Linked DNA regions of Oreochromis niloticus. The protein of the gene in region 1 purifies or fractionates together with the protein of each later gene. This does not show direct contact. Links are inferred from orthologs where the notes say so. Each region holds a gene or a part of one and is shown in the gene's direction. Other genes may lie near its edges.

The links. Proteins that work in one complex are often made in the same cells at the same time.
Region 2: the proteins of eif4a1a (region 1) and eif3ba purify together in Homo sapiens (affinity purification with mass spectrometry; 4 studies listed by BioGRID and IntAct, counting the BioPlex papers as one, with this or other methods). This does not show direct contact. The link is inferred for Oreochromis niloticus from reciprocal best matches to the Homo sapiens genes EIF4A1 and EIF3B.

What each region holds. Positions count from the first base shown.
Region 1 is NC_031967.2:1,649,014-1,657,016, forward strand, and holds the start of eif4a1a (eukaryotic translation initiation factor 4A1A), read left to right. Parts: upstream 1-4,988; 5' UTR 4,989-5,106; coding exon 5,107-5,129; intron 5,130-6,299; coding exon 6,300-6,342; intron 6,343-6,448; coding exon 6,449-6,581; intron 6,582-6,686; coding exon 6,687-6,826; intron 6,827-6,933; coding exon 6,934-7,102; intron 7,103-7,275; exon of another isoform or gene 7,276-7,416; intron 7,417-7,568; coding exon 7,569-7,678; intron 7,679-7,783; coding exon 7,784-7,927; intron 7,928-8,003. Other genes in the region: senp3b (sentrin-specific protease 3b), read left to right, coding at 127-210, 337-387, 1,394-1,504. UniProt on the Homo sapiens protein: ATP-dependent RNA helicase which is a subunit of the eIF4F complex involved in cap recognition and is required for mRNA binding to ribosome.
Region 2 is NC_031971.2:13,426,090-13,433,709, reverse strand, and holds the start of eif3ba (eukaryotic translation initiation factor 3, subunit Ba), read left to right. Parts: upstream 1-4,610; 5' UTR 4,611-4,649; coding exon 4,650-4,749; intron 4,750-5,756; coding exon 5,757-5,949; intron 5,950-6,074; coding exon 6,075-6,194; intron 6,195-6,284; coding exon 6,285-6,342; intron 6,343-6,522; coding exon 6,523-6,651; intron 6,652-6,766; coding exon 6,767-6,924; intron 6,925-7,179; coding exon 7,180-7,311; intron 7,312-7,412; coding exon 7,413-7,479; intron 7,480-7,573; coding exon 7,574-7,620. Other genes in the region: integrator complex assembly factor BRAT1, read right to left, coding at 499-572, 809-995, 1,377-1,480, 1,567-1,658, 1,802-1,909, 2,232-2,688, 2,918-3,065, 3,161-3,309 and 1 more.

The sequences.
Region 1 (8,003 bases):
GCTGTCACACATATAGTCTATTCAAGAAGTCCATTCATTGTCATCCATGAATATACTGCTCAAAGTCAGAATCTCTGTTTTTGGAAATTGCTGCAGTGTCTTTGAATGTGTTCATTTTGATTCCAGCACATTTACAAATACCTGCAAGCTGAAGCCATCAAAAAAGACCAGCAAGACTTCCTGACAGGATGGACCGGCTTTTTCAAAATGGTAAAAGGATTTTTCTTTATACCACTTAACAAAGCTCTGGTGAGACTTTAAGTAAAAATGATACGAGAAGCAGACTTTAGTTGAATTGGTACCATTGCTAATGCTAATGTATTTGTAATGTTGCAGAATGTGGGCCGCCAGAACAATGACAGTGACTGTGGGGCTTTTGTGTTACAGGTGAGTTTTCTGCATTGTGCATATAAATGAGGGCTGGGTGATATGAAGAAAATCTAATGCCGCCACATTTTTGGGGGCTGTATCGTGATACACGATATATATTGATACATCTTGAGCAGCAAAGGGGGTGGGCTGCAGTTTAAGTTTTTTATGTAAATATCGACATGTGTGGTATCCAATGAAACTTTCAAGTCTCAGCCACAAGCTCATAGAAACCATTTCTGCAAACAGCCAAAACAACAATTAAAAGAGCAGTTACGTCACTTTGCGAAATGTGCCTAAACACAAACAACGAAGCCAAACACTCACTCGGCTTCATGTAAGCAAACGTCACATTGTCTAACAGCAGAGGTTTCATCACTCTCTTACCAAAATGAACTGAGCCAGCAGCAGAAGGCGGCCACGAATATGCTTCAGGAACGATAAACAATAACATGGACTCTGTTTCTCTCAACAATAGCCGTCATAGCTCAAATCACAGCTGGTGTATTTAACGTTTCCCTTGGTGTGTGGGGAGATGCTGACATGCCGAGTTCGTTCGTGTTGTTCGACATCCTCCTCGTGAAATCCAAACGACAGCGACTCTGAAACTCCCACTGTCGCCATATTATTCCCCATCTGGTAGCATATAAACACGCATGCTCAGCGCAGTGTGGCGGGTAGAAAATTTTCCAGCTAGGAGGGGGGATTGATGATGCATTTGCAGCGTGCGGGAACCTACACTCGATGGTTACGATAAAAGCATTTTAACCATCGTACGTGGACAAACTTGCGATACATTGAATATACTCGATATATCACCCAGCCCTAATATAAACACGAACTCCTGTTGTTGAGAGCTAGCCGTGGACAGTTTGGATTAGCCTCAGTTTCACTTCTTTATAGCATTTATGAGGGGAACACATGTACCTACTGCATAGATGGTAACTGCCACACATCAGGTTGTTTTAAATGTGTTTCAGTATCTGAATCTAACCCTGACCCTTCCTTTTCTGCTATCCTGCAGTACTGCAAGTGTCTGGCACTCGGGCAGCAGTTCAGCTTTGGGCAGCAGGACATGCCCCGCCTCAGAAGACAGATGTACAAAGAACTGTGTCACTGCAAGCTTATGGTGTGACCCTTACTTTCCATCCTTTGTGGCCAGCTACACCTGCTCCGTCCCTGAAATCTAACAGGATGGAGGGACAGTGTTAAAACAAGAGGAAAATGGGAGCAAGTGACTGGGGGAAAATAAACATTACAAACCTAACTTTTTCTCTTCCACCATGCAGAGAAATTCTTCTAGATGCGAACATTGTTTGACTTTATTTTTTCTGGTTTTGCTTCCCTCGGTTTGTTTGAAAAACACTGATTTAAATATCATGTCATAGTTCTTTGTGGTTGTGAGAGGCCAAGACTAGCCATCTTATTTTGGGGATGGGCTAGTTATCCGTGTAAAGATAGTCCACTAGTTTTCTGGTCGGAGAGGGAGCACTGAGGTACGGAAAAGCCTGCGTCCAGGAAGTATGAAAGGAAGTCCCACAGTGGAGTTTGTGTTTAGAGGGCTGCAGTGACTTTTCCATCCAGCCAGTCATTACTTGACATCTTTGCAAAATGAAACGTACCCCATGCTGTGGCCACCAATATGGACGAGCTGTTCAGCACAAAATGTTTTCCAGTGTATTACAGTGTGAAACTTCCATGTACAATATTTGTAATCCTTTCCTGCAGCCTGCTCAGCTGGAGTTCAGTGGGAATGCATGGTTATGTTTGCAGGTAAAACTTTTTTCTGGTGAATCTCAGGGAAAGTTGGATTTCTGCAGCATCCATGAATCCCACCTCATACTGGCCCACACAATAGAGACTTTCCCCCCTCGATCGCTTTCAAGTCATAAACCTTCAACAGTTTGTGGGAGATTGAACTGAAATGGCTCAAAGAAGTATATTTACAATGCATTTAATTTTTTAACGTGTTTTATCTCTGTCAGTAATTGTGGTAATATGTTTGGGTTTCATAAAAAAAATCAAGAAAAAAGACTTTCTTTTTTTTGTTGTTGTTATTATTATTTTTTCATTTAGAGATCTTCTGGTTAGTATTTCTTTGAAAAAGCCATTTTGTTGAGGACCACAAATACACAACAGGCATAATATGTCCACAGTGGAGATACAGTGCTCTCTTATTCTTTTTATAACAAAAGAAAATTTGTGAATAGTTGTTTTTGGCTTTGCTTTTTTTTTTCCCAAGAAGGAGCTGATGCAAGAGAGCTGTTTTATATATCTTCTACAATACGTTATGACTGCTAAAAATAAAAATATGTGGCAAACGTGTGTGTGTGTGTGTGTAAGTTTTGACTCGTCCAGATCATAGTAATGGAAGGACTACTTTCAGTTTCTTGAAGACGTTTCGTCTGAGAGTCAGTCCCACATTTTTAAGCCCTATTGTCCTTAAGAGGGCTGTTGACCCTCTATTGATTCTCTGCATAATCACATGAGCCAAGGTGTGAAAACGGGTCAGCCAAGGTTTCGGGTGAACCCATTGTGAGACCTTGCCCCCCATCATGTGACTTACTGAGGTCAAAAGGCCCAGGATGTGAGTTAAGGCGTCCGGGAAGGATCTCAAAGCTCGATCGTAGATGGCAGACGGTGTCGGTGTTCAAAGAGGGTCGTTCACTCCTCTTTCAAACCTTTGTCCAAAATGTGGACATTGGCATTCTTGAAAGAGTGTGTTTAACAGCCACACAGATACAGACAGCTATGCAGTCTCCACTGCGATGCACTGTTCCATATCAGCTTTTCTTCCCACTGTTTCTCCCTTGGACCACTGCAAACAGGGAACACCCCACAAGCTCTGCAGGTGTAATTTAGTCCTAGTCAAACTTTCAAGTCTCAAACAGCTTGTGGGAGATTGAATTGAAATGACCTGTTGGCTCAAATAACTATATTTACATTGCATTTCATTTTTTCCTGTGTCTCTGTTAGTAATTGTGGTAATATGTTTGGGTTTCATAAAAAAGTAAAGTAAAAAGAGGATCTCTGTTTTGTTTTTGTTAAGAGGTCTTCTTAGATCATTTCTTCAGCTCGTCACATTGTGGTTTGTTCCTCGTAATAGTGATCTCAGTTCTGAACAAGGTTCTTACTGCGCTGTGGCTGCACCAAACCAGACTCTCCCCAATGCTGTTTCCTTTCTCCGGAGAAGCTGGGGTGCACTGCTGACGGTCTTGAACATGCCGCTAAACTCTACTAACTGCATAAGTCTTTGCACAGTTGGATATTATAGGATATAATGCAGTCCTATATTGATTGCATCATCCACAAAGTACAAAGGGGGCCTTACAGTGACTACTATCAGGATGTGGTGGGTGAGGGGTCTGAATGCGTCCCTCATTAACCTGCAGTATCAGGTTTTCAGCCAGCTCTTTGTTTGCAGAGGGGATGGTTGCAGACCCTTTCACACTGATACCTGCTGTAATGGGCGCTTCGATCACTGCCACAACACCTTTTCACAGTCCCTTTCTAACGGCTGTTAAAGTGAAGAAAGCCTCTGCAGTATTTTCCTGAGTGATAGGTGTCGACACTCAGACAATACATAAGCACCGATATAAGAGAACAAGCCAAAACCAAAACCCAAGTGCTTTTTTTTTTGCAGTCCACATGATGTGAAGTCAAAATCGGCCCCATACAGAAAAGCAGTTCATATCTGATGAGAGAATCCACCAAGAAAATGCATCGATCTGTGTAGAAAGTGGGTGAAATTTTGCTCACAAAGAAATTAGCAGGCTAGTTGTTTATGGTAGTTTAATTTTAATGGAGAGAGACAGAATATTAGATCCAGAAATAAAAAACACATTAAACGAAAGTAATAAAACCTAATTTCAGAGCAAATATCTGAATGATTCTCAGCACATGTAGAGACTAGAAACGGTCATGGTAGTTCTTCATATACATGATAAGACATGGCACTTAGAAAGAGAGAAGTTCTAAACCAGGTACAGATGCCACATTATTGTCACTGGGACAATGTTCAGTTTAATTTCATGGTGTCATTTTGTGGTTATGGTTTGTTTCACATGTTTCTCTAAAGCCTTAAAAAGTACTATTATATAAATGTGTTTTTCAAGCTTTATTTATTTATTTATTTACATTTATGGAACTAACCTACTGCACTCTCATCAGATTTTTCCATCATCCAGATTCAGTAAAAAAATTGAGATAATCAACAGAAATAGTTATTTTTAACCCTAACTCTTTCCCGTGATAGAGTATGAATACATTTAAAGAGCAGTGTGTTGAGTGATCCATGCATATTACGCACAAGACTCATCTCTGATAGGCTGTAAATACTCAACGTGATGCTGGAACATTAAGACATTACATGACCCAATTAAAAAATTGCATTTATTTTTTATTCGGCGCTTGTAAATGTCTGAGGAAAGCAGCGGGGACACACCTGGGCAGGCGGACTGAAGAAACCCGGTTGCGTCACCAACGGATTCCGTAAAAACTGAAACCCCGCCTCTTTGGCTAAAGAACTCGGGCACGAGCGTGAATTACGAGCATACTGTAAACGAAACGGTCCGCCCCATGGGTCTGCTTACTTTTACATGACGTAGAGCTCGTCCAATCGCAAATGCCTGTGGGCGGGACCACAGCTAAGTGACGGTGAGCTTTTACAATGAGAAAGCCTCTTTGTGCGCATAACCTATATAAGAGATTTCTGCTGCGGATTCTTTCTTTGAAATAATGTCGGCTGAATATGATAACAGGTAAGGAAGGCTACTTTTGGTCGCATAAATTGTGAGTTCTAGGGCTTATTTTCACTTTCAATCCGTCATATTTTTACTCGATGTTCTCAAGAATGCACATTTTTAACGGAGTTTTGTAGTCGAGTAACATTCGAGGACTTTTTGTCTTAGATGAACATTAGGACTCTTCGCGTTTCAGGAGACGAGTGTGAAATAAGATTTAATGTTTTAGATCGTTAAAGTCATGCTAGTCAGAAGTTATATTAGTCTTAATGCTTCAGATGTGAATACTGACTGCGGTCGTTATCGGCATCCGGCGACAGCACGTGAACAAGCCTGGTGTAGGCCTTTAAAAATTCTTCCTCTTTTCATTTGTAGTAACTTGATATTGAAGCCAAAAGATCGGAACTACGACACTTTCGGGTGTAATACACCTGATTGACCTTATTTTGTCTGTAAAGGTGGATTAATGCTGTTTCGTGGTGTTCGGTGGAGTCACATGGTCTTAGTACGGATGGTCGGCGTTTTGAACAAAGGCCGCTTTAAGGCCGCTGAAAATGGACGTTTTTCCGCTTACACGCGCTGCATGTGGTGGAGCTGTACGCTGCCTTCACAAAGCGCTGTGCCTTACGCGTTTAAATGAACAATTGCTTTCGCCGACTTTGTCAGTTACAGACTAGCAGGCCCTGTTGCTAATGGCTAATGCGGAGCAGGCCTCGGCGGCAAGCCGCGAGGCTTCTTCTACCGCTTTCCTCTTAGCATCGCGGTTAACTCTAAACGATCCGTTCGCTTTGAACACAAAGATGTCGGAGTTTGTCGACTAGTCGGCCACATTCGACGTGGCGGCGTTTCCTCTGTAAAGCGTCCTCCCGCCCCTGACTCTTCCTCCCCTGAATGGAGAAACGACCATCTTGATTGTATGTAGCAAAAATGGCGGCCTCTCCACAAGGCCTCGCGTCACAGCACAAGGGGCGAAGGCTTCTTTTTTCACGCCAAGTTTGGGAAGAATGATATAACGTGGAGCCTGGTAATGATTATATCAGCACGTATACTTAAAGGGGGATATTTTTGTGCTACAGAAGATTTTATTTTTATTATCATTATTCGTGGGCAGAGGGGATTTAGTTCATTATGGTCATTTACAAGTGTAGCTGGAAAGCAATGATAACCGTGAGTTTCTGTCATTCACAGAGACAATGGCCCTGAAGGCATGGAGCCAGATGGGATCATTGAGGTAAGTGTCTCATATGAAACTCCCACAAACACTGATGTTCTTTTCACAGCAGTAGGTTCAGAATGTAGTTAACTGACCTATGTGGGACTCTTTCTAACCTTTCCAGAGCAATTGGAACCAGATTGTGGATAGTTTTGATGAGATGAATCTACGGGAGACCCTGCTCAGGGGAATTTATGCCTATGGTTTTGAGAAACCTTCAGCTATCCAGCAAAGGGCCATTATGCCTTGTATCAAGGGTAAGAGTGCTTTCAATATGTGATACTGTCTGTTTCTAATACTACTTAGCAGTTAACATTTCCAAGAATTCCCTGGATACTAAATTGCACATGTTTTAATTTCAGGTTACGATGTGATTGCTCAGGCCCAATCTGGCACTGGGAAGACTGCCACCTTTGCCATTTCCATCCTTCAGCAGATTGATGTGGAGCTGAAAGGCACTCAGGCTCTGGTCTTGGCTCCCACCAGGGAGTTGGCTCAGCAGGTTGGCTTCCACACAGCCTCTCCCAACACTTGTGACATATTGTGCAATAGCATCTCTCATATAGCCTTTTGCATGGCTTAATGTCTGGTCTTTGACTCAATCTCCAGATTCAGAAAGTGGTCCTTGCCCTGGGTGACTACATGGGCGCCAGCTGCTATGCCTGCATTGGAGGGACCAACATCCGCAGTGAGGTCCAGAAACTGCAGGCTGAAGCCCCACACATCGTGGTGGGAACTCCCGGCCGCGTCTTTGACATGCTAACTCGCAAAAACCTTTGTAAGTCTTCGTGAGAGGGAGTTAAATCCTACTTTGTTTGAAATTTTGTTACTATAAGGAAAGAACATTAGTCTCTTTGGTCACTATGATCACCTCAGAGGTCAGTTATCGCTTTCACCCCACATTGTAGTCTTCCTTCCTGTGTCTGTTCCTGCTTGTATATGATAAGTGCTGTATAATGATGAAACCCATGCGTGTCAGCTGACACTGTACGTCCCTGCTGTGGTGTCGCTTTGGTCGGCGTTCTGCTGGCTCGAGCTTTCATGACAGCAGGGTCCCAGAGGCATGATCATACGTTCATTACTTCTGAATACGGCACCTTTACACCCGAAGACACTTCATTACTGAAACCTCATTAGTGGCACGTGATTCCTAAACACAGTTCCATTGTATCTGTGTGCAAACATGGATTTAACTGAATGTGTTATGTGCCCATATGATGTGTAACATGTTCCTTTTTTTGCAGCTTCTAAATACATCAAAATGTTTGTGTTGGACGAGGCTGATGAGATGCTTAGTCGAGGATTCAAGGATCAGATCTACGAGATCTTCCAGAAGCTGTCGAGCAACATCCAGGTTGGAGAACACTCGTGTCAGCGCTGTAACGGCCGAGTCAAAGGTCCTGGCTTGAAGTATGGAAAGGGCCTGTAGCTGACAGATATCTCTGTAAATCTCTTTAAGGTTGTCCTACTGTCTGCCACCATGCCAGCCGATGTTTTGGAGGTCACAAAGAAGTTTATGCGTGAGCCTATCAGAATCCTCGTGAAGAAGGAGGAGCTGACACTTGAGGGCATCCGCCAGTTTTACATCAATGTGGAAAAAGAGGTGAAAAACATGCACTCGTTTTCCCTGTGATCAGGGTGTTTATGCTGAGCTTGCTGTGCTAACGGTCTGACCTGGT
Region 2 (7,620 bases), on another chromosome or scaffold:
AAAGAAATTTAACTTTGACCAGTGTAAAAACAGGTTGAGATATTCAGGTTACTGACGCCATCTGCTGGATGGTTTGGGATTCTTAGTTCCAAATAATGAAAGCAGTGACAGTCCTTCAACATACAGTGATACTTTAAGACAACAGTGTGTTACGACCACAGTCTGGGGAGAGATATTCCCTGCTATAGCAGGCGACAGGACCTGGCTTTGTGCGCTATGGAAAAACTTGACTAACTCCAACTTTAACCACATCCATCACCTTTACAACGAACTAGAAATGTAACTCTAAGCTAGATCTTACACACGTCAGGATATTGACCCAACCCAGTGTAATGGGATGAGAGCCAGGGCGCATCCATATTAGAGCAAACACAGAGAAACAGACACACATTTTAATTCACACCTACAGCCAGTTTAGGTGTGAATCAAAGCAGCTGTACAAATCTCTGATAGTTGTGATCATCTTACATCTGTGAACAAAAACACACACAAACTTACAGTGGGATCAGAATCAGGATTGTCCAGATACTGTATCAGGAGTGTGAACACGTCAGTCAGCTTGCCATTCGCTCCTGAAACACAAACAGAAACATAAATTAACTCAGCGTGTTCCTTTAACATTTGGTTTTCCTACATATGCCATATACTACTTTTGTAGAAGTATCTTACAGATGAAAAACTCATCACTTTACTTTTAATACATGCACTGAAGGTCTTTATATCCTCCATAAAGAAACTTGTTTGTTTTCAGTATTCCCTTTTAGTTTCATTCATGTAATATGGATTCTAACTCTAATGACAGCTTTACCTGGGCTGTTACTGACAGCTGTCAGAGCCTCTAGAGCACATTTCTGAACTTTCCCACTGCCAATGACATTCCTGAAAACTTCACTACAGCCAGCGGACGAGGAGAACGAGTCGCCACTGCAGATCCTCAGTAACGACAGAATTCCAGACACGATTAAATCCGGAGCGCAGGGGAGGCAGTCAGGATCCTGTGGGAGAGAGGGAGATTATAAGCCTTTCCATGTGTTAGAAAAAAAAGCTAACACCTTATAACACGGCCTGCGACTGAGGGCTTGTTACTTCTATCATTCAGATTTTATCAGAAATTACAATGTAATTATGTTTACATACAGCTACTTAATGCTAGGTACACAAGTGTACAGTACAGGAAAGAATTATTATTATACATGTTATCCCCTTATTCTAGTGTGCCTGGCTTTAATTGTGTGTATGTAAATATAATTACATTGTAATTACAAATAAAATACCCTAAAAAGTCTATTTTATTACAGAGGAATTAAAAATTATAAAGTGTTAACTGAAAAAGATCCAATATTTACTTAGCCACTCTCTCCTGTCCTTACACTCACCATGTGTGCGATCTGAGGTGTGTTTGTTAGACACACACTGATCATGGAGATGCAGGAGGTTTTGCTCTTCAGCTGCTCAGTCATGGCAAACCGATGCATGTCTCCTACAGGCCCAGATCTCATGTTACTCCATAGCATAAATGCAAGATAACACAGATTTTTCTCAAGAGTGTACGTCTTTGTGGGTCACCTGCAGTGTTTGTGCCTAGTAGGTTCTGGCCAGATATGATGTCGAGGGGTAGCAGCAGTAATCTCACAGACTGAGCTGTGTGGACACGGTCACTGCACATAAAACCAGAAGAAAAGGAACAATATTTTGTAGACAGATACTATAATGACAAATCCCCATGGGTTTTTAACAGAAAACCCAACCTCTACAGACGTTCGTGTACAGAGTTTGTGTTGGCTGAAGAAGCTGTGCTTACTGATGGCCGCCGCGGAGAAAAGCAGCTGCAGCATGGACGAGGTCAGCAGGTTTCCTGGCGTTCAACATGAAAGTTAAAAGACGGGTGATGCGTTGGTCTGGGAGGCGGCTGCAGAAGCAAGCACAGCAAGAGTCTATAAACTAAACCTGAACAGCAGCACAGTCACTAATGTATACTTAAAAACAACCACTAGGTAAATGCTGTGGATGATGGCTGACCATTACACTGTCCTGTGGTATTGCATAGATCAATAGAACAAAGCCATCGATGCTATATCTATTAGCAGATTTGCATATTCAGCCAGGAAGCTCCACTGTCCTCACCTTCCTCTTAAAGTCACTACTTAAAATCCAAATAATCTCTAGTAGAGACAAAAAAGGACAGACAACTCTATAAAGCGACACTCTCCTGTGTTTTATGAGGGGTTTACCTGCATGCAGCTAGAATGACATCCATCAGAGGCAGTGTGAGTTCACAACAATCTGCTGCCACCATTTCTTCCAGAGAAGCTGTGACTGTCTGCAGCAGCTTGTCCCGCAGAGGAGGCTTGGTCTGGCCCAGGAGCAGAGCCAGCAGTCTGAGAGTCTGCTGACACTGATGAAGCTGTGTGCTTCCCTTGGGAACCCCCAGCGCCCTCTTGAGGTACTCTGAGATTGCATCGACAACAGCGGTGCAATCTTGGTTTATTTCCATGGGCTCGGCTGGGTTTTCTACAACTGCTTTGGACGCACGTGTGTTCTGCTCATCTTCCTTCTTATCGGTGCCATTACATCCTACAGATGAGACAGGCTGACAGAAGAGCAGGACGTGGGCGAGCATTTGATTGGCAGCTGAGGCAACAAATAGGCTTGTGTCTGTCTGGAGTTGCAGAAGTGGCTCAATGAAATCTAAAAAAACCAAACAAATATAATACATATATATGAGGATGCATCAGAATTACAACAATATAATACCTATAGCACAGTGCCTCTCGCCCTATGGCAGCTGGGAATGATCCAGCCCCCAGTGACCCTGAATTTGATATGCAGGAGCAAACAAATGAAAGGACGAATAGAAATAGCATATTATCCTTAATACTAATGATCCCCCCCTCATGAATCGATGCAAAAAACTCACCTGCTTGTATAAAGAAACTAAGACCATTTGGATGCTGCAGTGTGGTCCTTAAGCCCTGGATCCAGCCAATCCGTATGCAGGGATCCTCCCAGAGCCCTAACTCCTGCCAGTGCTTACAGCTAAAGACAAGATCCAGAACTAAGGACTCCTGCAAGAGAGAGAGGGAGGCACAATGATAGGGCAGATAAGCATTGGAATATTTTGTAACAGTTTACTAAATACACCAGGCGTCAGAAGCTCTACCTTAAGAATTCTGAAGGCGTCCTCAGCAGCAGCCAATAAGCCGATGAGTCTGAGAGTGAAGGAGAGGACACCTGGGGCTGAAGCCGTGTCATGAATCACAGCAGATATGAACTCAAGCAGACACGGACAGGCCTCCAGCAGAGACTCCCCTTCAAAGAGTGAAAGAAAAGAAAAACAAGGATACAGATTTACACGGGATCACTTTTTTATGTGCACCATAAAGAGAAATGATAAAGGTACAAAAGACATGAAAAAGGAACATTTTAAATTTAAATTTATCTTTATTAATGCAATATAACATATATATAAGTATCTTTGAGTTTTGGGATCTTTTACAAAATGTAAATGTTATCTGCAAATATCGGTGATATAATCTGAGTAATAATCACCTACAAATACAGTGATTCGCTGCATGGTATTAAGTTTAGATCAGTTCTCTGGAGAATGAGGGCTCTTTAAAACACACCTTTCAGCTTTTCATGTATTTTGAAGCTGGTTTTTTTTCGGAGAACTGGAATGTAAATGTGCTTGTCTCTGTCTCAGCTTGTGTCGTTCAAATATGCTATAGGCTTTAAATCAAGCAGAAGTGACAGTCAACACAAAAAAGACAGTCATCACATGTTTGTTTCATTTACAAAATATTTGTTATTCAACCCAGGTCAGAGGGTTACACACTGAACTTAGAATATAGAAATAAAGTATCGATTAGATGGTATCGATACTTTTAACAATATAATATTTGAATTGATCCTCCTATTAGAAAGATAGTGGGAGAGGAGGAAGAATAAAGACACGATCCTGTTAGGGTCAGTACTACTAACCAGCCTCGGTGAGCGCTGTGAACCAGTCCAGCAGTTTCTCCAGAATGGTGTCATCGGGCAGCGAGCTCCCTGAGGCCGCCAGCACCTCACAGACCCGGGGCAGCAGTGACACACACTCTCTGTCCATGGGGCTAAGGTGTGCGTGTTAATAACCGCCGTTGCTAGCTTAGGTTTTTACAGCTAGGAGTTATATAAAGTCTACACATTATCTAACCACTCATGTGGATGTAAATGTGACCTCTAGCTAAATTATGCAGTACAGACCAAACTGAAGCAGCCACTTTAAACACACAAAGTCGTTGTTTTTTGTACTTTACTAAACGAACGTCTCGCGGGAAACAGTTTCGGATCTACCGGTGCGTCGTTTCCTTTTCCGTGCTTCTGGGCGGGTCTCACGCCGCTGCGCTCTTCGCTGATCTCTAAACATCACTGTGGGGGAAAATTACCACCAGTAGCTGTTGTACTTCCGGTCCCTATGCTTTACAGCTTTACTGCTTCTGCGCAGCCTTTTCACGCGCCTTTGAGGAGGTTCCGGTGTCGCGTTTCCGTCACGTCGTCCATTTTCACGGATCCGCACATGGTGCTGCACCGGCTGAGGATCGCCAGCCTTTTCGTTTTCGGGATTTTTGCTCCGCTGTAGACAAAAGTCCGTGTTGTAGTTCTGTTAAATGAAAGAAACGGTGGATATGGTGGACGACCCCGAGTATGAAGAGGAGGAGCCTTCCTTCAGCGACCCGGAGGACTACGTGGACGATGTGGATGACGACGGTAAGTAGTCACAGGAAAAACGCCGGCTTTCCGGCCTGCTGTTAGCAGTTAGCTAAGAGCTCAATGGTGGGGATGTTTTAGATGCTACAAAGCTAGTTAGCTAGCCTCTCTGGTCACCGGCACGTAGTAATAGTAAATAGTGAACAGTGACCATGAGCTGGATGCATAAGCGTAATTACCAGGAATACAACAGCGACACCACCCTTTTTCTCCAAAAAACTCCCAACATAACGTTATCACAGTGTACTTAACGCCCGTTAAAGCCTCACCCAGACCCCACACAGCCACTCACTGGGGCCTGTGCGATACGATCTGAAAAACCGAAACAGGATTTTAGCTAGTAAAGCCGTTAGGGCACATTATTTTCTCTGTGCTGTTTGCTTATATAAAGTAGTTTAAATGGGGCAGCTGGTTGTAGCTCAATGGTAATCCTAACCCAGGTCTGAGGGGCGTTTGCTCATTAGAGCTTTTCAATTGTGCAAGTTTTGCAGTTGTGGTAAAATGACTCATCAGATACACGTGTTTTGTACTTAGTAGTCACAATATAATTATTTATGTATAGTAGAAACCTTGGGGTAAATTTACAACAAAATTGGTACCATTTAATATTAATTTGCTGAAGTTAAACAAGGACACAAATGAAATAGCTTCTGTGAAGCTAAACACGCCAGCATAGCGGTTCTTTATCCTTATCAAAATGATGTGTATTAAGCAGTGAGTGTAAAGGAGATGTACTATTGAATTAACTTTATTATGATGTAATTATATTTTGTCTACTTATAAATCATGAAGCTTAAACCTGCACATCTCTAAAGAAAATTTAAACAAAAGAATTGTTTGTTTCAACGATGCAGTCTTCCCTTCCAGTAACTGAAGTGGTGGCTATAAAGTTTAGATTGGTTCATGTATATGAAAAGAAGGTCGACATTAAAATGAGATGAGAACCCCAACCCCACACAGTCCTATCAGCTTGTTCATCACCCTGACCCTCCTCCTTCACTTTTCAGAGCTTCTTGATGACATCCTGAGGGAGAAACCCCAGGAGGCAGACGGCATAGACTCGGTGGTGGTGGTGGACAACGTCCCTCAGGTCGGCCCGGAGCGTTTGGAAAAGCTCAAGAACGTCATACACAAGATCTTCTCCAAGTTTGGCAAGATCACGACTGAGTTTTACCCAGAGGCGGATGGTATGACCAAAGGGTATGACCGCAGTTGTTTTCTTCTATGTTCTTTTGTGCATCTATTTTGATTCAAGGTGGATTTCCGGATTTGAAGCAGAGTTTTTGTTTTGTTTTTTAGTAATTGTTTTTTCTCCTCGTTTACAGTTACATCTTCCTGGAGTATGCTTCTCCTACTCAAGCCCTCGAAGCAGTCAAGAACGCAGATGGATATAAACTCGACAAGCAGCACACGTTTAGGGTCAACCTCTTCACTGACTTTGACAAGTGAGTATGCAGTACCACTCAATGCATTGTCCAGGTATTGCTTGCCAGACTTGGAATACAAGTAAATAATCGTACCTTTGTTTTTCTCAGATACATGAACATCAGCGATGAATGGGAAGCTCCAGCAAAGCAGCCTTTCAAAGACTTTGTAAGTGTTACCTTAACTTTTCAGTCATAATATAATGAATCAGTTTATAACACTTAGAATTAGTTTGGCAAAAATAGCTTCATGTCAGCACTTTCATTATTAAGTTGACCTTCATAAATCGACAGGACAGTCTCTATCCTGAAACCGTGCAAGCGACAATAACTCTGTTTGTGTTTTCAGGGGAATATGCGCCATTGGATCGAGGACCCAGATTGCCGTGACCAGTACAGTGTGATTTATGAAGCTGGAGAGAGGACTGCCATTTTCTCCAACGACGCTAAAGAGCCAATCACAGTTGAAGAGAGAGCGGTGAGTTTTTAATTACTCACGCAGAGTTGGTGGGAAATGCAGGGCTCGTATCAAACATGACTGGTCAGTAGTCACTGGTTTGGAGAGTTCTGATGTTTTTCCTGCTTTGATGCAGCGCTGGACAGAGACGTACGTCCGATGGTCTCCTAAAGGTACCTACCTGGCTACGTTCCACCAGCGGGGAATTGCACTGTGGGGCGGCGAGAAGTTCAAACAGATTCAGAGGTTCAGCCATCAGGGTGTGTCCCTCATCGACTTCTCACCATGTGAAAGGTAATCAAAAGTCGACTTTAATCCAAAGAAGCACATTATAGTTATATTATAGAGTATCCCGTTCAAGTGTTTATTCATTAGTGATTTATTTATTTCCTGTAAATAAGGCAACGTCACCTAAATCCTATGGGTTGTTGCACCATGACATGGGGACAGCAAAGGATGATTAATGTGCAGATAAAGCACTCTAAAGAGGTGCCGAGTTGGCCTGTGAGCCACAGTCTGAGCTTAATGTGTGGTTGTGCTGGCTTCCAGGTATGTGGTGACCTTCAGTCCACTGATGGACACCAAGGAGGACCCACAGGCCATCATCATCTGGGACATTCTGACCGGACAGAAGAAGAGAGGGTTCCACTGCGAGAGTTCTGCACATTGGCCTATTTTTAAGTCCGTATTATGCTTTCTCTCTTTTAAATCTAATTTAAATCAAATTTGCTGCTTCTTGCAGAGTTTGGATGTGTCTTCTAATTTTACATGTTTGTTATCAGATGGAGCCATGATGGGAAGTTCTTTGCAAGGATGACACCAGACACACTGAGTATCTATGAAACTCCGGTAAGTAGGCCTGAAAACAGTCTAGATGCGTTTAAATGAAATGTTCAAATGATATTAAAGGTTTATATTTTGTTTTGTTTTTTTCTTCTTGTAGTCTATGGGCTTGCTGGACAAGAAGAGTCTCAAGATTACTGGGATAAA